3 linked regions of the Lepisosteus oculatus genome follow. The protein of the gene in region 1 purifies or fractionates together with the protein of each later gene. This does not show direct contact. Links are inferred from orthologs where the notes say so. Each region holds a gene or a part of one and is shown in the gene's direction. Other genes may lie near its edges.

What was found. The genes of interacting proteins can lie anywhere in the genome.
Region 2: the proteins of yaf2 (region 1) and e2f6 purify together in Homo sapiens (affinity purification with mass spectrometry; 4 studies listed by BioGRID and IntAct, counting the BioPlex papers as one, with this or other methods). This does not show direct contact. The link is inferred for Lepisosteus oculatus from reciprocal best matches to the Homo sapiens genes YAF2 and E2F6.
Region 3: the proteins of yaf2 (region 1) and mgaa purify together in Homo sapiens (affinity purification with mass spectrometry; 5 studies listed by BioGRID and IntAct, counting the BioPlex papers as one, with this or other methods). This does not show direct contact. The link is inferred for Lepisosteus oculatus from reciprocal best matches to the Homo sapiens genes YAF2 and MGA.

Annotation. Positions count from the first base shown.
Region 1 is NC_090702.1:30,288,392-30,295,351, forward strand, and holds the start of yaf2 (YY1-associated factor 2), read left to right. Parts: upstream 1-3,954; 5' UTR 3,955-4,076; coding exon 4,077-4,102; intron 4,103-4,394; coding exon 4,395-4,520; intron 4,521-6,960. UniProt on the Homo sapiens protein: Binds to MYC and inhibits MYC-mediated transactivation. Also binds to MYCN and enhances MYCN-dependent transcriptional activation. Increases calpain 2-mediated proteolysis of YY1 in vitro.
Region 2 is NC_090697.1:12,186,220-12,193,257, reverse strand, and holds the start of e2f6 (transcription factor E2F6), read left to right. Parts: upstream 1-4,026; 5' UTR 4,027-4,114; exon of another isoform or gene 4,115-4,147; 5' UTR 4,148-4,738; coding exon 4,739-5,056; intron 5,057-7,038. UniProt on the Homo sapiens protein: Inhibitor of E2F-dependent transcription. Binds DNA cooperatively with DP proteins through the E2 recognition site, 5'-TTTC[CG]CGC-3'. Has a preference for the 5'-TTTCCCGC-3' E2F recognition site.
Region 3 is NC_090703.1:12,652,388-12,659,636, forward strand, and holds the start of mgaa (MAX dimerization protein MGA a), read left to right. Parts: upstream 1-4,237; 5' UTR 4,238-4,292; coding exon 4,293-4,407; intron 4,408-6,792; exon of another isoform or gene 6,793-6,947; intron 6,948-6,976; exon of another isoform or gene 6,977-7,041; intron 7,042-7,249. UniProt on the Homo sapiens protein: Functions as a dual-specificity transcription factor, regulating the expression of both MAX-network and T-box family target genes. Functions as a repressor or an activator.

The DNA of each region.
Region 1 (6,960 bases):
TAATGTCAAAATCACATATTCTAAATAAGCAGTCTAAGTATTCTATGTAAGTAATTAAGCTAAGTCATTTACATTACTTTCAATAAATATTTTTTTTAAATGGAACAGGCACTTTTTATTCAACTGTACTGCCATCTGTTCATCCTATCTTTGCAGTTTTCCACTCCATCACTACATCTTCTCCCTAGAGAAAATTGGTGTGAAAACAAGTGTAGTGCTGCTCTGCTACACCCAGAATACCTGTTTTTATCTATGCAGAAGGCAATCTTCACAGGGCTTTTTTCTAAGAAATTTGTTGGAATAGATGTTCCCATAAGCAAGAAGTAATCATTACTCTCACATTCCTAGAAAGTAGTCCTACAGACTTCATGCACTGTTGTTTAATATTTTTGGCACTGTGCAGAAAAGAACTGTTTCATAACACTTTATATATCATCTGTGATCTCATTTAAGTTCTTGAATCCTCCATACATTTCATATGTAAATATTGAGCAGCTCAGTGGCACAGAGGTCAGCATCGCTGGGGGCCCTGGGTTCAGTTCTGGACCTGAGGTGCTATCTACATTGAGTACATTGAGTGTTCTTCGTATGTACATGTGGATTTCCTCCAGGTGCTCCAATTTCCTCCAACATTCCAAAAACATACTAGTACGTTAATTAGCTTCTGGGAAAAACTGATCCTGGTATGACTGTGTGTGTCTCTGTGCCCTGGGATGTACTGGCGAATATCCTACCTATCCTATGAGTATAGGCTCTGGCTTCTCTGTGACCCAAAATTGGATGAAGGGATTAGGAAATGGATGGATGTACCTGTACATATATTCTTACTCTTTTCATATTTCTAGTTTCTGGTTAGGTCTTAAAATAGAATGAAAATGAAAACAACTTATTGAATTGAATACTGAGCATCCACTTAATGTATTGCTCTTTTTAATGTATTAATTAAATATTTAATCATCATTTTAATTAATTGCTCATTCATAACTAGAATGTGACACACTCAAGTACCTGACCATTACATAAGTTCTAAATCACTTTATTAGTGAGAGAGTGAGGTGATTTTACCTGTTGTTAAACGCAATGCCAGGTGAAAATCAGTAAAGTGAAACACAGAAATTCACTATGGCTTGATTTACCAAAAAAAAAGCAAAAATCTAAACTAAAGGCTGTATTATGCCATGGGTCCCCCTGTCCAGGCACTACAAGAGGATTAGGACAGAATCTGCAACCTGTAGCAAACCACGCTTTACAGATTGAATTACTTTCAGGGTTGACCACACAAACCACTAGTATGTAACTTTCACAATAGACCGCCTCTTTATCAGACCTATTCATGGCAAATGTTAATCAGCATAAAGAACCAATGTCATGTATATTCATTAAAGTACAGTACATCCTCAGCACACTTGTTATTATTTTGATGTTGAGTATAGATTGTAGGCTTCTACATTTGTTCAGAAAACAAAATAGTGATATGAAAATTTACAATTTACACATAACACAAAACAGCTATAGTTTATCCAACAACAAAAATGTTAAGAAAATACAGATAATATAAATTGTCCCTTTAAGATTAAACATACTTTATATACTGTATGTAAGAAAGTCTAAACCTTTGGCCAAAACCCAGGTATTGCCACAGCTGCCTGTTCTTAAGAGCTGATCCAGTCATTCACAGAATAGTCAAACAATGTGCCCAGAAAGATGACCTGCAATCTGACACAACCATCTGGATGATTTGTGGCAGGGTTATAGCCTGCAGAAAATTTCAATTCCACAAAGAAATACATATGTCCATTAGAACTCAAAAAAGATTCTAAAGCAGGTAGCAGACAAGTGCCATTATCAGAGACAGACAGAGATCAAACCTGCAATTTTCAAGTGGCAGAGATAGAAGGTAAATGAGACAGTACTCCATCCTGTTTCAAGAGGCCCCAACATGGTAGCAGAAGTGCCTGCAGAAATGTAGATCAGAAGCATCAGAATAACTGTTCATGTGCATCCTGACCACTATCTTCAGCTCGCGCATTTTACTGTTATTTCAATTTCTTTCTTGAAGCATACAAAATTGTGCTTGTTGATCCCTTCATATATTTCTCAAAAGCGTCTACTTGTGATGCCAACTATTCTACAAATAATAGCTTCTGAAAACATCCACTGCCAAGAAGCAAAGGAAGGAAGCAGATCAGCAGTGCGCCATGCTGAGAAGTCCACGGCAGAAGAATTGAGTGTAAAGTTGATGCATTTCTTTATCACAACCTCTCTCTATCAGCATATGGAATCCTGTTCAGGAGTCGCATTTGAATCCATTGGAAGGATACAGTACATGCTTTGAAACAAATGTTCAAAATAAACGTGTGACATATCCAAACACAACACCAAAGCTTGGGGAAAAAGAGATTTTTTTATTAGAAGTTAGTTGCTTTACAAATAGGAGACGATATACTTCATCTATCACTTAAAAGCATTCCTGGTCATCCTACTAAGACTTTGAATCAGGTTCAGAGGGAACAATGTCCCCTGCTTGTGCAACAATACTAATTAGAGAAGGAGAGGAGGCCTCTCCTCCCAGTATTGACCAGACCTTAGCTTCTGAGACCTAACAAGATCAGACTCGAAGTTGATCATTGGTGCTGATGGTATCTAGCTGATGGAAATGTTTGAGGATAGTATGGTTTGTCACTATGTTTTCAGTAACCATGTACAGTAACAGGATACCATTTTAGGGAACCTTACACCTCACTGTGGCAGCCGGTGACTCACCTCCTATGAGAAGCTGGTAATCCCATGGACTGCATCTATTTATAATGTTCTCTTGTTTATGGCTGTGCTTTGTTACCTGGTTTCATTACTTTATTTAGGTAACTACTTGTAACTGTAAACTAATGTTGTATTCTTTGTGTGTAGATTGCCTGGTTCCATTATCTGCACCTGTATAACTGTCCTTCTTGGAGAGCTTTGGTATTGCTAGGGGAAGGGAATCCTGAGTCCTGTACTGTTTCCTTATCCTGACATATTTGACTGCTATGTGCAGGCTGTCCTGCCACCTAGAACACACTGCTTGAGTGAATGCTTATTATTTAAACGATGCTACCTTTTGCTTCTGCAAAATTCCCAAATTTATGGACACTTCCACCCATTTGCGGTCCTGTGTCCCTCATTTAGTACTGTATGACATTTATGTTTCCCAAAGCTCGTTTTGTAATAGCATATTAATAGAATCCACTACTATGTTGGGTAGATTAAAGGGCATCCATCCATTCATTTTCTGCAGGTTTCAAAGAAAGCTAGACCGACTTTAAGAAGATGAAGTCCCCCTCATTTTAAGAGAACAATCATTTTTTTCCCAAAATACTGGGAGTCCCTGAAGTTTAACATCGATGTAAAAGATCTCTTCAATCATTAACATAGCCATATAGTATAATTCCTTCGGGGATCCCAATCAACAGAAATGTCCCAAAATATCTCAGGATGATGCAGTGGACAATGATCCTCAAGAAACAGAAGGGAAAACTGTCACCGAGACCAATATATTTTTAAAATAATAGACAGATTAAGTTTTTATTACGATGTAAAAATATTTTTACAGCTTAGCTCCATCTCTCAGAGTCTCAGATATTTTCTGGAACCGAAAAGCATTTCTTCGAACTTTAATCTGTAGCACAGTTCCCCCAGTTGAATCAGCTGATCCGACATAAACACCGCACGCCCCAACTGCCTTTGAGACGAGAAGAAATTGATTTTCCCGTTTGGATTAATATTTATGAAACATCAGTTTGAAACACAAAGATCCTCATACGACTTGGATCACGCTAGACCTCAGATGACTCAAGCGAGAAGAAAGAAAAAAAACAAAACAACATCCGTAACCTCCATCATATGCAAACCTGCCGCCTTCAGCTTAATGTTTCTCTTTCAGGAAATTGTCTGCCGGCTGATTGGTTAGCCCCCCACCACGTGATCCTCCTACTGGAGTTTCCACGACAGCTGGGAGCTGTGATCCGGGCGCCTTAGTCATTTTTTGTATCAAATTTTTCTGTTCGTATTTCAGTATAAACAAATCAGGTTTCAGCAACATGGGAGACAAGAAGAGCCCGACAAGGTAAAGCAGTTCACCAATGCATAAGAAAGAGGGTTGCTCTAAAATGCGGCGGCTCTGAATAATTAAAGCATTACAACGCTGTGTGTGTGAATGAGGTGGCCGCTGTAGTGTAGCAACCATGGCGGACGGGCTGTTCTATTACAGTGTCAAAACATATACCTCGTAAATTTGACTCTTGAAGTCAAAAGGGGTCCGTACTTTTTTTGTTTATAAACAAGTGTTCAAAGCTGAATGTAAGGGGCTGTAAGCGCTGCATTAAACCAGTGTTGACCGTCTGCTATTTTGTTCGAAGGCCAAAGCGGCAACCCAAGCCTTCTTCTGACGAAGGATACTGGGACTGTAGCGTTTGCACATTCAGGAACAGCGCCGAGGCTTTCAAGTGCATGATGTGTGATGTCAGGAAGGGAACATCAACACGGTAAGTAGATTTATTTAATCGCTATTATTAATGGTCACCGTTCAGGATGCTATGTGCAAGGGCAGGTATTTTACATTTGATGCTTTAGAACATAAAAAAAACAATAATACCTGAGACTGGCCGGAATGCTCAGCGAAAATGATTGAATGTTGAAAAGGTAGCTAATGTTTACCATAACGGGGTTAATTAGATATTGATGAATGACAATTTTCTTTTGCATAAGTGAATCTCCTTATCGTCATTGTTATTTCACAACGGATCCTGCTTGTTTGTAAAATACATACTTGGAGCGGTGAAACTAAGTAGGCGATATAAATTGTTTAAAATTAACTTGTATCTGCAACTTTTATCATTTTTAACCGGTGCTTATTATGCGAAGTTGATTTGCTATTTTCAGTGGGCATACCGTGCGACCGGCTGCTTTACATGAGCCTGACCGCTTGTCTTGGGCTTTCCCACAGCATCCTGCCAAAATGTTTCTCCCAACTCCTACGATTATACTTATCCTGAGTCGCTAGACTAGCACATCGTATGAATCATTTGTTGTATCATGAAATACGTAAGCGCTGTGTTCAGTATTATCAAGTGAATATTTCCGTCTGGTGCATTGCCATTAAGACACGGGAGAACATTTATTTCGTCTTAAGCGTTGAAAGTCTGCTTCCTACATGTCTTTGAACACCCCAGTAACACAGGAAAAATTGATGTTCATTTTAAATGTTTTTTTCTTTTGAATAATGATGTAGGCGATTCACTCATAATCATTTTAATGACGTACAATAAAGCCAGCTACAGTAATATAAAGAACAGATACTGTACTGTGGTTTTTGTGTTTCTATCGCAGCCAGAATACATAGAATGAGTTAATAATAAATGCAGTGTGGTTTCTGTGGGATCTCGGTTTATAATTTTCAATTAAATGGCATAGACAGGGTCTCAGCTTCTGTATTAGCATGGAGGGGAGTGTTGATTGAGTCTTCACTTGTCCTTCCTGCTGTGCAGAGCAGAAGTCAAGGCTTGCCTTGTGAACAACAAGGTTCATCAGTTTGGATGATTTATGTACTTATGCTTTGGTTATGACATTCTTCACAGGGGAAAGGTGCCCTGAATTATTGACCCTTGCTATTGAATGCAATCCCTGATATTCAGCCAGTGTGAACTGACCACAATTATATGATGGCATAAGTTCTATTTTAAGAAGTATTTGTGGTTTAAAGTATATGGAGTTCACCAGATCTTCATTTGCTTTAGAAAAACCCTGGTGAAATCACTTTCTGATTTAGTGTTGGTGCAGATCTACAGAACAAATTCCACCATGAATCGCTTACATTATACTACATCTGGTATTTGAATTGGCCAATGTGTTGATTAGATGTGTAGTAAATACAAAATTGAAGTTTTCACATCCTAACACCATTAGCAAAGTTGATTCAGTTTACTAACATTTTTAAACTGGTTTGGAAGTTGGAACAGAATGAGCAAGCCTTTTGTGTGATAAAATGAATTATTTCATTAAGAAAAAATAATTGAGGATATTAAATACCAGTCACTTTTTGTATTAATTGTATGCTCCAAAATGCTGCCAATGTCAAGATTCAGTGTTTTTGGTGCAGCCACCTAAGCCGGGACAGATACTTCTGTGTGTACCACAAGCAGAGGCACTTGCACTGATGGTTTCAGGCACATATCCAAGGAAAAACTTTAAACATGTGAAAACGTCAGCAAAGGGCTCAGGCAGTCTGTTTCAAATAATTAGAGGGTGGCAATCTTATGTATATCTAACAATGAAATATGGGGTCTCTGTTCTTCATTGATAAATACTGTAAGCTAACTTTACCTAGTGTATGTAAATGTCTATAATAAAAATCTATTTTAAACATTGGCAGCTAACTTAGTAACAAATGTGATGTTTCGCACTTCAGAAATAATAAATATCCTATTTTATCATCTGTGATTCCATATCCACACCATATCTGGACACATGCAGTTTGATTCTATCTTCTTTTACTTATTTTATCAAAAAGTTTATCAAAAGAAATGGAGAGGGGAGCTGGAACTGGTGTATCTTCAGGTTCTCCTCTACTGGGTATATACATTTTTTTCCACAGGTCATCAGCATAAATTCAAGATAATTTGAATTAACCGCCATGTACTTATAATGATTCTATATGTAGGCATAATAGGCCTAAAGAAAATGGGTTCTGTAAGCCATTTCACCCAGTCAACAACCGCATGCACCAAATAGTTATTTTTATTGGGTCGTAAGTGCTCTGTGCTCAGTATTTATGGGTATTTGGCTTTAAATGTTAATTGGCGAAATGGATTCCTTGCGATTCTGTTTAAACACTCAAGAGTAGCCTTGCCTGGCATGTAAACGTCCCAGAAAATATGACATTTGTGTCTGCTGCCAAAATGACATTGCTGTTCCCCGACTTAACTT
Region 2 (7,038 bases), on another chromosome or scaffold:
CACAAAATACCCTTAAAACAAACAGCCAAAGACAAGCCAGCACTGTGGAAGGAAACTGGTTTGGTCCGGGAGCCACAAAGATCACAGGAGAAGATATGACAGAGATAAGGTTAAAACCCCAGATCTCCACTACTACATTACCAAACCCTGGACATGCCGTTTCAACATAAACTCTTCTATAGCCACCAACAAAACTTGTGCAGTGTATTTGTGCTGCTATTATGCAGAATGCTAGAACCAACATTACCAAACATTGTCAAAAAAAATTTCATAAGCACTGCATTTACCACCAAAAACATGGCTCTTCAGAGTTAATTCTCAAGACTAGGTTTGAAGACACCCTGATTACATCAAACCAGCCTCAAGGCACACGTGTATATACTTAAAAATGTGAAATGTATTCGACAGATAATTCAGTTCCTTTATAATCAAAAACATACTGTGTTAATGTTAGCAATACTGAGTGTGACCCGAGTTCCCAAATTTGGAAATACAGTAGCATCAAGTGACTGAAGTGGCTGCAAAAAACAAAAACAAATCAAAAGGCCAAGATATGCAGACTCTTGAGGATGTGTTATAAGTTAATAGGGCAGCCACTTGAGCAGAGCTTTCAAACTGCTTACAATGAGACTCTTTTGAGACAAGCTGTTAGTATGTCCTTTGAGTCCCTCACATTAGGGATAAGTATGAAGAAAGTCAACTGATACCTTCAAACAGATGTTTCAGAGTCCCTCAATGCAGACTTAACAAAACGAAGGCTTCATTACCCCACAGTCAATCAAGTTACTCCAAGTATTTGATATGAGCAGGTCGCTCAGTGTTTAAGTGCAAAATGAAAGGGTGTTGTGCAAATATACAGGCTGAGGTTGAGTATGTTGGAAGTCAACTCACAGACTGCGGTGTAGCTGTGTGGATTCCTGTGGGAGTGTTCTGTCATTAACGTAACGTTATATTTAGTTTGAATGCATCCTCTCAACAATAAAGCTGTTTGGATGCAAAACAAATTTCTGAGAAAGCAAACAAGAAATCTTATTGTATTGTAACATTGCTAGCATCAATTTCCGAGTGTTTTTTTATGGATTAATACTTACTGAAAAAGCACCTGCACATCACTGTATACGACATCTGAAAACTGGAAAAAATAGAACTGCTCCTTGCCATCGCTTTTCTCTACCTTCCCTAAACACAGCGCTGAGATCAACAGGTTCATGCTGTGTAACGCAGTTGCTGGGTGTAAAACACGTTGTTCTCTGGTCCTAATTATTTCCTGAATTAGTGGAGGTACGTTTAAATGCCACTTTGAAGCCGGGCCGATGTTCAACAAGACTAAGCTCCAGGAAAGAAAATAAAGCCTACGGATTATCCATCTATCCAAGTTTGAACCGTTCTCCCAGTTCAGGGGCATGGGGGAGCCACGGCCTATCCCAGCAAGCAGAGCCAGGCTGGTGTACAACCTGGACACCTGTCCATCACAGACACGCACACTCACACCAGTGCACCCAGAGGAAACCCACACAAACCTGGGGAGAACATGCAAACTCCACACAGACAGCACCCCCAGTGCAGAATTGAACCCAGGACCCCAGTGTTGCGCATCACTATGCCAGTCCATATCGATTACCTGAGAAAGTAATATTCATTTGAATTAGTTTCCCCGAAGACTGATTTAATATTAGTAATAGTAGTAACGAACTGTAAATACCGTACTGACTTGTCATGACAGGCCAGATGTCACACTTCCGTGAGAAGAAAAGCCTTACTCCTTTCACTGCACGTATTTGAAGTTGCGTGGGGGGCCCACGGGAGACACCAAGCGCGTTTGTGTTTTGAATACAGGGCTAACTGGAAGCCAACAGACGTGTTCTCTGTATTCGGCTGTTGTTAACTGTATTGTTGACTGCACTAACAATTGTCGCCGAGATGTTAATAACGTTCACGCCAAGCGTTCGTCTGTTTTCCAAGGCATCGATCTGGAGCTGTGATATGATCCGTGCACAGCAGTGACCAAGGGTGTCGGTTTGTTGGTACCCTTAAACCATTGTTTACCCAGTGCAATGTTGCAAGGGCACTGAAGTTACAATGCAATTTTTTTTTCTAAAAAAGGAGCTCACATAAGTCATGGTTCTGCTCTTCTTTTACAAAACGTGACTGCACAAACCACTTAACACCCCCGGACACATCGTTGATTTCAAACCGAAGGCAAACGCACAGCTGCCACCGATCTTATCTAATCCAAGCTCAAACTGTCATGAAGCGAGATAGCCGTCAGAAAATGTAAATGATAAAACTTAAAAGGCTTCCATGATCCATCCCGTATGAAAATGGGTAGACAAAAGGAACGGGTCTTTTATATTTCGGTCATTTTAATCGATTAGACACACACGCCACAATTCTTATAGAACTTGATTGTAACTTGTTCTAACATTAATTTCAGTTCCCGTAAATAAATCAACCGAACGTCAAAACAGATTAGATATTGTTGTCAATCTTCCAAAATTAATGCAGAAGGCAACTATAAAGGTGGGACTGAGGATTGCCTAAGGACATTATGAGTAGGGGGGACAAGAAAGATTTAGCGAGACGAATGAAAAAGTAGAAAGCCAAATTTGCCGTTCCGTTGACACCCGGACGTTTTCTTGACCACAAGCTTTTTTGACCGTGCAGTGTTATCAAATAAATACGTTCACGCCTCAAAAAAAGCCCCTCGTTCAACTTCATGCACGGATTCAAATCAAACTGGGCAAGACAGGGCGACATCCGTACCCTACTAGCCAAACACCCAAATCTGAAGAAGTCGACAAATGAACCAAACACACACGCCACACACTCCAAGAGATTGTTGTGAACACGAAGACATTTCAGAATCGTTTTAATTCGGGCTCTGCACCAACGCCTGAAGTTACCGGACAACTTTCGCCCTGCAAATATTTTTGGCGACACGGCCGGTGTCACGCCGAGATCTGCGAGGAATCGTGACAGAGGCTTCGGCTGGGGTCGCTTTTACAGATTAAAGACATGAAGACGTGCCTCAGTTCCCGATGCGAGGATGCGAGAATGACCCACATCGAGGACAGAGACGCGGATCCAGGCAGCGAGGAAGAAGACTGCCCTGCAAGCAGCCAACTCCCTCTCCCCCAGTGTACAGAAAATCCTGAAAATATCCGTACAGCAACTTCCAGTCCCTTTTTTAGTGGCGATTTCAACGCATCGCCAACAAATCTGCTTCGCTGTTCTAGTATTTTTACCCAATAGCCTCGCAAAGAAAAAAAAAACCACACCGAGTTACAAAAAACAACAACCTTTCCTCGAACTGCAAATGACAATTCGGCAGATCCCCGAGATCATTTCCAAGAATGAATGAAAATTTAACACTCAACGTCCACGACTGGCAAAAGACCAGATTTACTGGAAACCGCTACGCTCGGGTGCAAATAAAACCAACACAGTGCAAACAACGTTTTTTTTTTGGAGGGGCAGAAAAAAGATCAACAAAATCTCCAACATCATCCACATCGCGTCGTGCCCGAGAGAAGCAAAGAAGAGAGACTTGGTCATCGCGGGTGACCGGGCTGTGCAACACGACCTGCGGACGCTCACATAACGCTCTGTACAAGAAGCTCGGCTTTAAAAAAAAAAAAACACAATCGGTGCGTGTAAAAATGTTCATGCATTACCTGGTCTATAGGGAGACTGATGATATCGCTAATTGGCTGCAGCAGGGTCGAGCCAGTGCAAGAGGATATGGTTGCTGTAGCCATGATTAGGAAGGTTTTTTGTACAAGATCCCCCTCTCTCTCTCCCCCAGTGGATCCCCAGATTCGCCTGCTACTAGCTGACAGCCAGCCGGGCTATAAGCTCCGCCGACAGCCAACAGCCGCTCACAACAAACAAACCCTTTTCTGTCTGCGGGCCAATCGTTCAGGGGAAACTGGCGGCTCTCAAATCCAATCAGAGGAGGAGGAGGTCGCGGCGGGCTCTGCGCTGATGTACAGGCCCGGCAGCTAATCAGAGGGCCCCAGCCGGAGCGATCCCGGTTTTTACAGCCCGCACGCCGGGGAAGGGAGAAGATCGCCGGGCCGCGGATTATACTCGCCCTGCAGAAACGTCCGGAGAGGTACCAACAAGACAAACGCGGACAAAAGACAAGTGTGTTCGTGCAGTCTGACGACTTAAACCGCACAATAAGTATAAAAACAAACCAGTCGGTCCAGTAGTTGTTTTTGTTTTGGGGAGGATAAAAACAATTGCATTTTTCAAATACTGCCCGGAGGGAGTGAGTGAGTCGTGGTGGTGGGGAACAAATAAGGACAGATGCATCGGTGGTGCTGAAGGAAAACAAAAACGATGGCAAAGGTATCGCGTTTGTTTTCAACCGCGCACAGCTGAGGTGCCAGACGCCCCCCGGCTCCTGTGCTTGGCTGTTTTGATTAAGCCCTAACAGCGCCGCGGAAACGGCGAAGTGACCCTACTCCGCCAGCCGGCCAGCCAGCGAGTAGGTGGGGGGGCAGTAAGGCTGCCAGCCCCCCCTCACCCCGCTGTGAGTTTGCCCTTCCGCGCCGCCAGACTGAGCCCCGGCTGAGACACGTGTTTTGCTGCGGTTCCGGTGTGCAGCCTCTGCTTACTTCAGCGGCCATTGGGAGTGGAGCTGGGGAGGCGGCTGTTTCGTTTCGTTTCGTTGTGCTGTGTGTTCGTGTGTGCCTGGCTCCCCGTGAGCGTCCGAGCCGGGCGCCCGGCCGCGATGGTGCAGTGCGTGGTCCAGGGGTGCCCCAACAAAACCTACCCCAAGGCGGGGTTCGCCAACCGGCCGCGCAAGCGCTTCTTCAGCTTCCCGAGAGACCAGGCCCGGGTGAAAGTGTGGCTCGCCGCCCTGAGGGAGACGGAGCGGGTGCTGTCCGACCACCACCGCATCTGCGAGGACCACTTCCTCAAGCACCACATCACCCCGTTAGGGGTCACGAAGGACGCCATCCCCATCATGCCGCCCTACCTGGACGGGCCGCTGGCCTCGAGTGCGGGGACGGAGCTCGGCGAGTTTGCTGGCGACGCGGAGATCGAGGTAGGCGCACTTACATTAAAAGCCCCGTTTGTCGGCGCAAGGTTTTGGAGACATGATCAACCCGAGGGATATTTATTAGATTTTTACACTGTATTTAAAATATTGTCATGTTTACACTTGACACTTATTATAATAATAATAATAATAATAAGCTTTATTATATAGCGCCTTTAAAGGTGGCTTCTCAAAGCGCTTTACAGGATGAGTTTTAGTTTTAACTAGTTTTAATATACACTATTAACATAGCGCTATAATGTTTTTATGATTTGTGTAAAATGTAAAATGTACCAGCTCTTGTAACATGCTCTGTATGTGACATTGGAAAATGTATTTTTCTTTAATACATTGTTTGGAGTGCCTTACTTCTGACTACCTAGACCCGCGGTGCTGAGCCCGCTGTCAGGCCGGAGTTTGTTTTTATTGGTCGGCTGCACAGATGCTGCCACAAAGTGAGATGGATCCGAATACCGGAAATACAAGCGCAGTGAAAACAGACGCTTTTCTACAGCGCAATTCACAAATTGCTCCAAGCGTAAAAGCCCTGGTTCACAAATATTACACGTTTTGGGTAGGCGCTTCTTTTAGGTAAGATGCGCTGTTTTTTTTTTTACAAGGCAGCGAGCAACACCCTTGGTCCGTTACAGAAGCTCAACAGGCCCTTTAGTACCTGATTTCTTGTGTTTTGCCTCGCAGTTCTTGTTCATTGCAGAGATTCTGATTTGTGGACTTGGAAACTCTCCTGCCTCATGTTTTTTTGGCTTTAGTTATGCTGTTTGGACCCTTTTAAAACGGATTGCAGTCATGTTTTTAGCCCCTTGGAATTTGGATGGGGCTAAAAATGCAAAAGCCTTCTAATTAGTTTTTCAGTGAAGCGCAGGAGCTTATCTGAAACTTCAGCTGCTTGTAAGGGGTGTGTCTGTAGTATAATTCTCACCCATGTGCTGTATGTCTGCTTTCATTTCATTGCCAACAACGACTGCTGCACGTTGTGCATTTGATAAATACACTTTGGTTTGATTTGGCAATATTAAGCTGCACTGTTTGTAAGCAAACCGAGGAGTCCACAAAGGTTAATGTTTGGTTTACGGCAACAGTACACCAATATAATGATATTCCTGAAACCGAGCACAGAGAGCGGTAAAATATTATTGGTCTTCAGGAGCACAGGAGAGATTTACTTATAGTTTCATTCAATAATGAAAACTCTCTTGAATATGTATGCTGTTTGTCAGTTCATATGCTTCACTTATTACTTATTATTTTCTCAAATGAGGATATTGTAATCTGTAAACCTCATGACCACATACTTTAGATGCAGAGCACGCAGTTAATTTCACTTTCATTTCAGTTAATTCAATAGGTGGTTATTTTAATTGGACAGTAGGAAATCTCATTGCAGTTCAGCTTATTTGTGATATGCCCAACTGCCATGCTTATTTGCATGTATGCTCCAATACAGAGAAATTAAGGGAACACCAAACTACAGCAGCAACAACAAAGTTAACACACAACGTAAATAAAAGTCAGCACAAGAAGTGTGCAGAGTAGAGGTGGAATTTAATAACTTGACAGCTTGCAGGAAGAAGCTATCTCTGAATCTGGAAGTTCGTGCCTTTATGCTCATATTGCTTACCATAAGATAACGTCACTTTATTAACCCTTTACAATTTCTTGCATTAGGAATTTGTCTTTTTGCATACCCCAGCTTGCTCTCCATGAGACACACAGACAGGGAGAGAAGCTTGTGGTCAGAGCGCAGGGTCAGCCATTGTACAGCACCCCTGGAGCAGTTGGGATTAAGGGCCTTGCTCAGGGGCCCAACGGAGTAGGATTCCTCTGCCGGCTGCAGGATACAAACCGGCAACCTTCCAGCCACAGGCGCAGATCCTCAGCCACAGAGCTACCGCTCCGCCCCCAAGGGCAGGGGAGAGGAAAGTGAGAAACCAGGATGACTGGGGTCCTTAGCGACACGTCCAGCCTTC
Region 3 (7,249 bases), on another chromosome or scaffold:
TTTAAGTGAAAGTATATTAAAAAGGCAATGTTGTGCATTAACTATAACATTGTTAAGCATAATCCTAAGCAAACAGTATTTTAGCCAATCTAGCGTTAAGTGTACTAGATATGGTCCCAATTACTTTCACAAACCCACCTGACAAATCATTTTGCCAGCAGAACGTTTTGAAACGCTGGCATCGCAAATCCATGGTTTTCTTTTCCACTGGCCTTACAATATAAACCCAGTGAGTGTTGTTCATCGTGTAGAAATGCATCATCACAAACAATATTTATGAAACGTCTTTTCAAGAGGTAATTGTTTTTTGTGAAATTTCTCGTAGGCTGAATTCCAACGTAATGTATTGTGTATTAAATTAAAGACAGAGATGAGTATTTCAGCTATGTGTACTTGTAAAAAGCGACATAGACAGTCGGCTTATTCGGTGTGTACGGCTCGTCATTGGATAGGCTGGTGCAAGATACCAAGTGCTTTATTATCGAGACGCCCTGCTTTTATGGCCTATTTGTCCCACAGCCTTAACCGAGGCTATGGATATATTTTATACACAGTCCCTTAGTACTGAAGACTGAATTGATAGTATGAAGCAGAAACTGCGATTCACAACATCACATCTCATTAAAAGCATTGAGGAGAACTCCTTCACAACACACACCCCCACTCTAACCTAACATGTTTCAGTCTCAGTGGAGGATGGAGCTCTCCCCAAACTTCCTGTTGACAGGTCTGCTTCAGGAGGTTCTACCTGTGCTATTTAACGCTTTAAGTGTGTTGAAGATCGGCTTGGTTGTCTCACTACAGTAACAGTTTCATTTTTTATCCGATATGACCATATATGATCTTAGACGGCCTTCTTTCAATTTCAGGCTGTCGGGTCAAGATACATTCTGAATCAGCCAGGTCTCCTTTCCACAATGATAATAGAATTAACCCCTGGGGGTGGGCTCTTCGACGCTTTTAATTATGCCAATCGCTCCATTCCGAAGCTCTGTTAAAGGTTGATCGGAGCCATCTCCTGCTGCAATATCGCGTGGGACAAATTTGCCTTGTGTTGTGTTGTTCATAAGTCACATTTCATGAGAGAAACGAAATGCTCTCTGCCTTAGATTTCTCCCTGCGCGTGTTGAAAGCTCAAACACGTTCTCCCTATCACGTGACCAAAAGAAGCTTTCGTTTTCTATCAGTGACGCTGAACGAAGCTCTATACCGACGGCGACAGTCGGTTCTGAATGCTTTATTTGGCTTAATATAAGTCTTCAGGCACGCATTGGGTACAAGTTGAGGGTTTTTTTCAGACGCCGAGTAAAGTTTATTAATATTCTCTACAGATCTGTACACACTGGTGTTCTAAGAAAGGCATCGCCTTATCAGCTCACACTAAGCCTTCAAACCTAAGGGAACGTGCACGAAGTCAGCGACTGCTTTCTTTCATGACACGAAAGACGTTTTCTCGTTATCTTACGTGCAGTACGAGCGGATAACAAACAAAATCACATTTTGATAGAGGAGAGCCCAGCTTTCTTTGCGAGCTCATTTCAAGCTGCCTCAAAAAGAATTATAATAATACCTGGTTTAAACTGCACCGTGTACGCAGACGTGGAAATAAAATTAAACGGAACAACGCATTCATCCTAGCAACGTTTGTAGGTATTTAAGGACACTGACGCTTCTTTTTTCCTGATTATACATTTTCCTGATTGAGAGTATGAGAAAATGCCGTTGGACTATTCATAGGGGCGATAAATTATTCATTTACGTTCGTTTAATCTGATCCTGTAATGTAGATCACACTCCACTACCATTTCATATTGTGAAAGAATAGGCTACATTAAAAAAACATCCTCTCCTCAGCTCAGTCCACATACTGTGTAAGTACCTTCTAATGAGCAATGAAAGCGGCTCAGCCGTCCGCGGCGAGAGGGCGGAAGGGGGGTCGGGGGAGAGTTGAGAATTTCCGGGTCTATCCGTCTATTATCTAGCCGCTTCGGTCAAATCGCTGCCAGGGGGAGCCGGAGTCTACCAACAGGCAAAGCGTACACCCCGGCGTGGACGCCAAGCCATCGCAGGACACACACTCAGACACGCACACACTCACACCAGGGCCAGTTTACGCCAGAACCTACCACTATGTCTTTGGGCTGTAAGGGGGGAACTGGAGCACCCGGCGGAAACCCAGGCCAGCACGGGGAGAACATGCAAACTCCACACAGACAGCACCCCAGGTCTTGAACCCGGGCCACCGCGACGCCGAGTTTCCGGGTCGTGTTTTTTTCTTCAATTGATTTCTCTCGTTACGTTTAAAGATTAAATTTGTGGAGGGGTGATTGCTGTCTGAAACCTAACAAATATCATCTGCTTTGCGACAGTGAAACTATGCCTTGGCAAATAAACTAGCAGGTTGTTTGAGAGGTACGGTAAATATAGTCCCAGAAATGTTCGTACGTTTGAAGGGATCTGAGGTGCGCCTTGGTGACAAAGACATAATTTAGGGTTTTTCTCAGCACTAGTTTTCGTAACTTTTCTTTCGCCATCATCCGCGGTCGCTTTTTCTAGCAGGTCTTCTCTCCAAAATGTACAGCTATTTTTTGACCGCAGGTTTATAATCCGATTTAGTAACGTGTAAATGTTAATTCCACGCCGAAATATTAAAAAAAGTAGAAAAACTCAAAGTGTGGTGTGTGGAGCCTTTTTCTAACACGAGGTGGGGAAGATGAAGAGAGTAGGAATATGATGCGCGAGGAGGGGGACCTTCTGGACAAACTAAAGTCTGAGAGACGAAGACCGAGGTGTGAAAACCTGAACTGGGTAAATTACTGGAGGGGTTTAAAAAGAAAACACTATCTCGGTGAGAACTGGTGGAAGGTGTGATCCTAGTTTAAAAGATACTTTTTGTTCCTGAAATTGAAAGCGAATACATTATTACCTTTAGGTGGGTAGCTGCGTCAGCATGCGTAGACTGCAAAGGAACAAGTAATAGGTTTATTCCATGCTGAAAAAAAAGAAGAGAACACAACGTTTCGGCCGTGGAGCCTTCTCACACCTGAAGAAGGCTCCACGGCCGAAACGTTGTGTTCTCTTTCTTCTTTTTTTTCAGCATGGAATAAACCTATTACTTGTTCCTTTGCATTATTACCTTTAGTTTATTTGGCTTCTGTGTATTTAACTGCGAGCAACTTACTTAAAACGTAAGTACTTAAAAAGGCCAGACACCATTTTGAACCGTGATCGGTCCTCTCACCGATTCTCTTAGATCTGCCCTTCAGGACAACAAACACTCTTGACGGGGGATAAACTAGTGACGCTTATTAACGTTAAACAGCAGGAGGAAAATGGGGGGGGACACATACGCGGCCACGGGGAGAGAAGACAAACTCCACGCAGACGTCCACAACCAATCCCAGGTCCCGGGAGCTGGGACACCGTCAGTCCAGCCCCAACCTTTTTTAAAATATGTTAAACCTGACTACTCAGCGCAGTCAAAAGCGGCATAGTGAAAAGTTAAAAAGTGAACAGAATGTAACTTTAATGTAATTTTAAATGGCGTAGACATTCTAAAAAAAATGGAAAAAATATTTTGTTTGAAACGAGTACAGTTTAATCGTGTAGCGCTTGCAGGTTCGCGGGTGGGCGGCAAAGCCCAGGATGGCTCAGGCTCTGTTCGGAAAACCAGCCCGGCTCTAGCGTGAGGCAGGACCAGCAAACGGCCGGCTCGGTCCCAACCTCCCCTGTGTCCCCCAAAAGCAGGACCGGACAGAGGCGTACCCCCAACACTCACAAGCACGGAACAACACTTAACGGTGAAAACGGCTGGAACACGTTGTGCTTTTCGTAATTGTATATAAACAAAAGAACAACTGAAGTGTTCTCTCGGAGACCCCGGGAACACGCTGGGCTCTCGTCGTGGGTTTGTCAACTGCGGCCACCGGAGACCGGGGTGAAATTCCGCCTCTTGTTTTCTCGGGGCAATAGTGCTTTGTTATTACAGGTTCAGTAACTCTGCGAGAGTTGCCAGAATTCGGCTCAGTTTCAGTAATTCTGCAAACATCCCTTTCTTCGGTGTGTTTTTTTTATGATATAACGCCTTAAAATCTTGTAGAATTGTAGAATTAGGGCCCAGTACTACATGTTGCGGGGTCTCATCTTCTCTGAATACACTGAAATCCCGCGTTATAGTCATCGATTAGGGTCATGACGAACGCGACTCGAGACGAATCCGCCTCTTGCCTCCAAGCGGCACCCCCGCCAGCCTCCTCTCACCTCCGAGGATCAATAGCGCTTAGCAGCAGCGCATGCTCGCTGCAGTACCGGAGCCCTGCACTCCCCTCGAGTTTCTCACCCGGTCCGCGCCTTCGCAGAGCCGTGCATGGGAGGACTGGCCCGCTTGCCAAAGTCTTGTTTTTCGAGGTAAAGCGCTCGCTTCTGCTTCTAACAGCGTGCTCCGGCTGGTTCGAGACACGCGTTTCGCCGGCGTCGATTTAAGCCGGCCGGCTGCCTTTAACTTAAAAGCGCGCAGCCCGCGGGAGGGGGAGGGAGGGTGCTGCCGGTGGTCACCTGACGACACTGGCACACGACTCCGGCGAGAGAGCGGTGCACGACCCGGGTCGCCAAACCTAGCGCCTGAGCACGGAGGCTGCTTTTAGCGCACTTCGAGATTTGTATTGAAACCGAAAAGAGCCTCTGCCTTCGACACCTTTTTTTTTTCCAGCGCTTTTTTTTTTAAAAAAAAACGGGGCTTTGAGTATCCGTGTTTCTATTTCGCCCTATCACCGCCCGCCATTCCCTCAAATGTACCTGGGACTGCTGCTGTTGCGGAGGGACACGTGACTGCCGGCAGCCAAGGGAAGGCCGTGCTTCCTTGTCGTCATGAGGCTCGCTCGAAACCCGTGTGGCCGCGGATTCACACTTATCTGTGTTAGGCGTGCTGTTCTTACAATGGGGGCACTGCACATCACGCGTTTAAGCGACACGTTTTGAAACAACGACAAAAAAAAGCTTGAGCGTGTGCAGGCGGTTTCGAGCCAATCCCCCCCCCCAAAAAAAAAATGGATGAATGTCCCTTGGCGATCTAGCAATTGTGGAGCGTAAAACCGTGGTGACCGCAGTTGTCAGGGGTCTTGTTTATCGTCGGGTCAGTTTAGGAATTCGTAGTCCAAAGTTTCCCTCTTAATAATGTCGCAGTTCAATTTCCATTTCTGCCGGTATTCGCCTGTGGCTCGGGGTGCATGTGACCAGGCAGTAGCCAATAGGACCCATCTCGTTTTCAATGTCGGATGGGCTGCAGCCTTCGAAAGAAATAGGTTTATCTAGCCGTGGACGCGGACTGAAAGACGTTCGTGTTGGCCGGATAAAAAGCTCAGATTTAATAAGCATCTTCTGGTTATCTGCCATGCTCAAAAGGTGTGGGAAATGGGTGTGAATGCTTATTGGCAGTGAAATTGGAACTTTCCTTCTCTCTTTTTTCTCGCTGTAGGAGCAAAACCCCATATCTGATGTATGTTATGCGTTTAATGTAATTGAACCGCACATTCATCTCCTAGTTCTCGCAGGAAAATGAAGGAAAAAAGATAGCTGATATTTCACGAAAGGCAGAACACACAATTGCAAACAACATTGTACTGTATGTAGAGATGTCTTTCTAAATATACATATAAATCGAATAAAGTATATGTAAAACAATAGTTTAGAGGAATACTGAAATATATAAATTCGATACTGTTTTAAATGGAAAGCAAATGACAATTACTATATTTCTGGGTTATTTAGTAAATTCAAGATTTATTTCTGCTGTGGCTGGTCTTGTATATGAATACTACACGGCCTAAAGCAAACCTGTAAAATAAATCTTTTATTCTCTTAGAATAATAGAATGCTGCTCTGTAAGCTTAGACATTGTAGCTCAAAGGTGACCATAACAGAAAGTTCACGCAATTACAGTTTAAAGGGCGAGCACTCCTTATGTTGTTGTTTCCAAGCGATTTTAGACTAACAGCTCTCTCGCCTGCGCTGCGGTTCGATTGTGTACTCAAATGCTGTCACTCGTGGACGTTGCTTCTGCTAGTTAGTTCTGTCATAGTAATCTGGCAAAACATAGTGTAGTAGCTCTTGCGCAGGAGCCGGTAGTTTTAGGGATTTTTCAAATGTAAGATTACTGTGCAATAGTTATCCCGAAATGTTGTATTTAAAAAAAACCCACAACTAATTAGTTGATTGGTGTCACTAGATAGCGACCAAGAGCTTCTAGTGGCAATATTACTTATACAGTATCTCTTCTCACGTATGTGCTGGCTAGAATGTATCTTTCTTGATCTCTTTCGTTTTTAAGTGTCGGTATGAAAAGGGGTGTTTGCTTGTTAACGCTGTTTTTGTTGAAATGCGTGCTCGCACCTCCACTACGCGGCTGGTGGGCTTCTCTCTAGGATGAACGAGTGTTTGACCTGTGCTTGGTTTTCGTTTTCTGCATCTGCTCTGTCTGCCTCGGTGCCCCGCTGTATCGGTTCTCACTAGCTGCTATTTTGTTTCACACGGCAGGCACCACGTGAAAGTATTTCTTTTGAACGCCGACCAATAAAGACGTTAAATCCCATTCGATTAAAGTGCATTCGCGTTTTTTAAAGGCGGGCTTTTCCTTCGTTGCTGCCGGTGCTCGCACAGATCCCGATTTTAAAAAATAAAAGCTTTAGCCGAGCTCGGTGCGTGCGCAAAGAGGCTTTGTATTCCCACGTGACTGGCTCCTGCTGTCCCGTACTGGGCAGAGCCTGCGCGTTAGGCGAGAACGTGAGCGTGCCACCACAAGGACTCTGACGTAGGTGACTGAGAGCACTCATGTTTTCTCCAGCTGGGTGAGACGTACGGAGTAAGAAGGGGGAAAAAAAAGAACGGAAAGAGCCAATGAGCAAGTCAAACGACGGTCGGATTTCGGGGTGATGTTTGCACGACTGGGAAAGGTAACAGCTCAGCGGAGCCGCGGTGGAGCGCGTTTGCACGGAGAAAGAGACGGCGCCTGTTGCCACGAGTTGGGTGTTGAGAAGATCCCCGAGGGTGGGCTCGCGCTCCCAACGCGTTGGCTGGAAGGGGGGGAGGGATTCACGCGCCATTGAGGCTGTGGCCGGGTTTTGCACGCGCTGGGACCGCCAGTCATGGTGGTGCCAAGGAGACCGCGCCAGGCCCACGCGCTTGGGGTTGGCATCGTCGAGGCGGCCAGAGGCCCGCTTCACCATGTCCTTCGACAGGCATGGGAGCGCTCGCT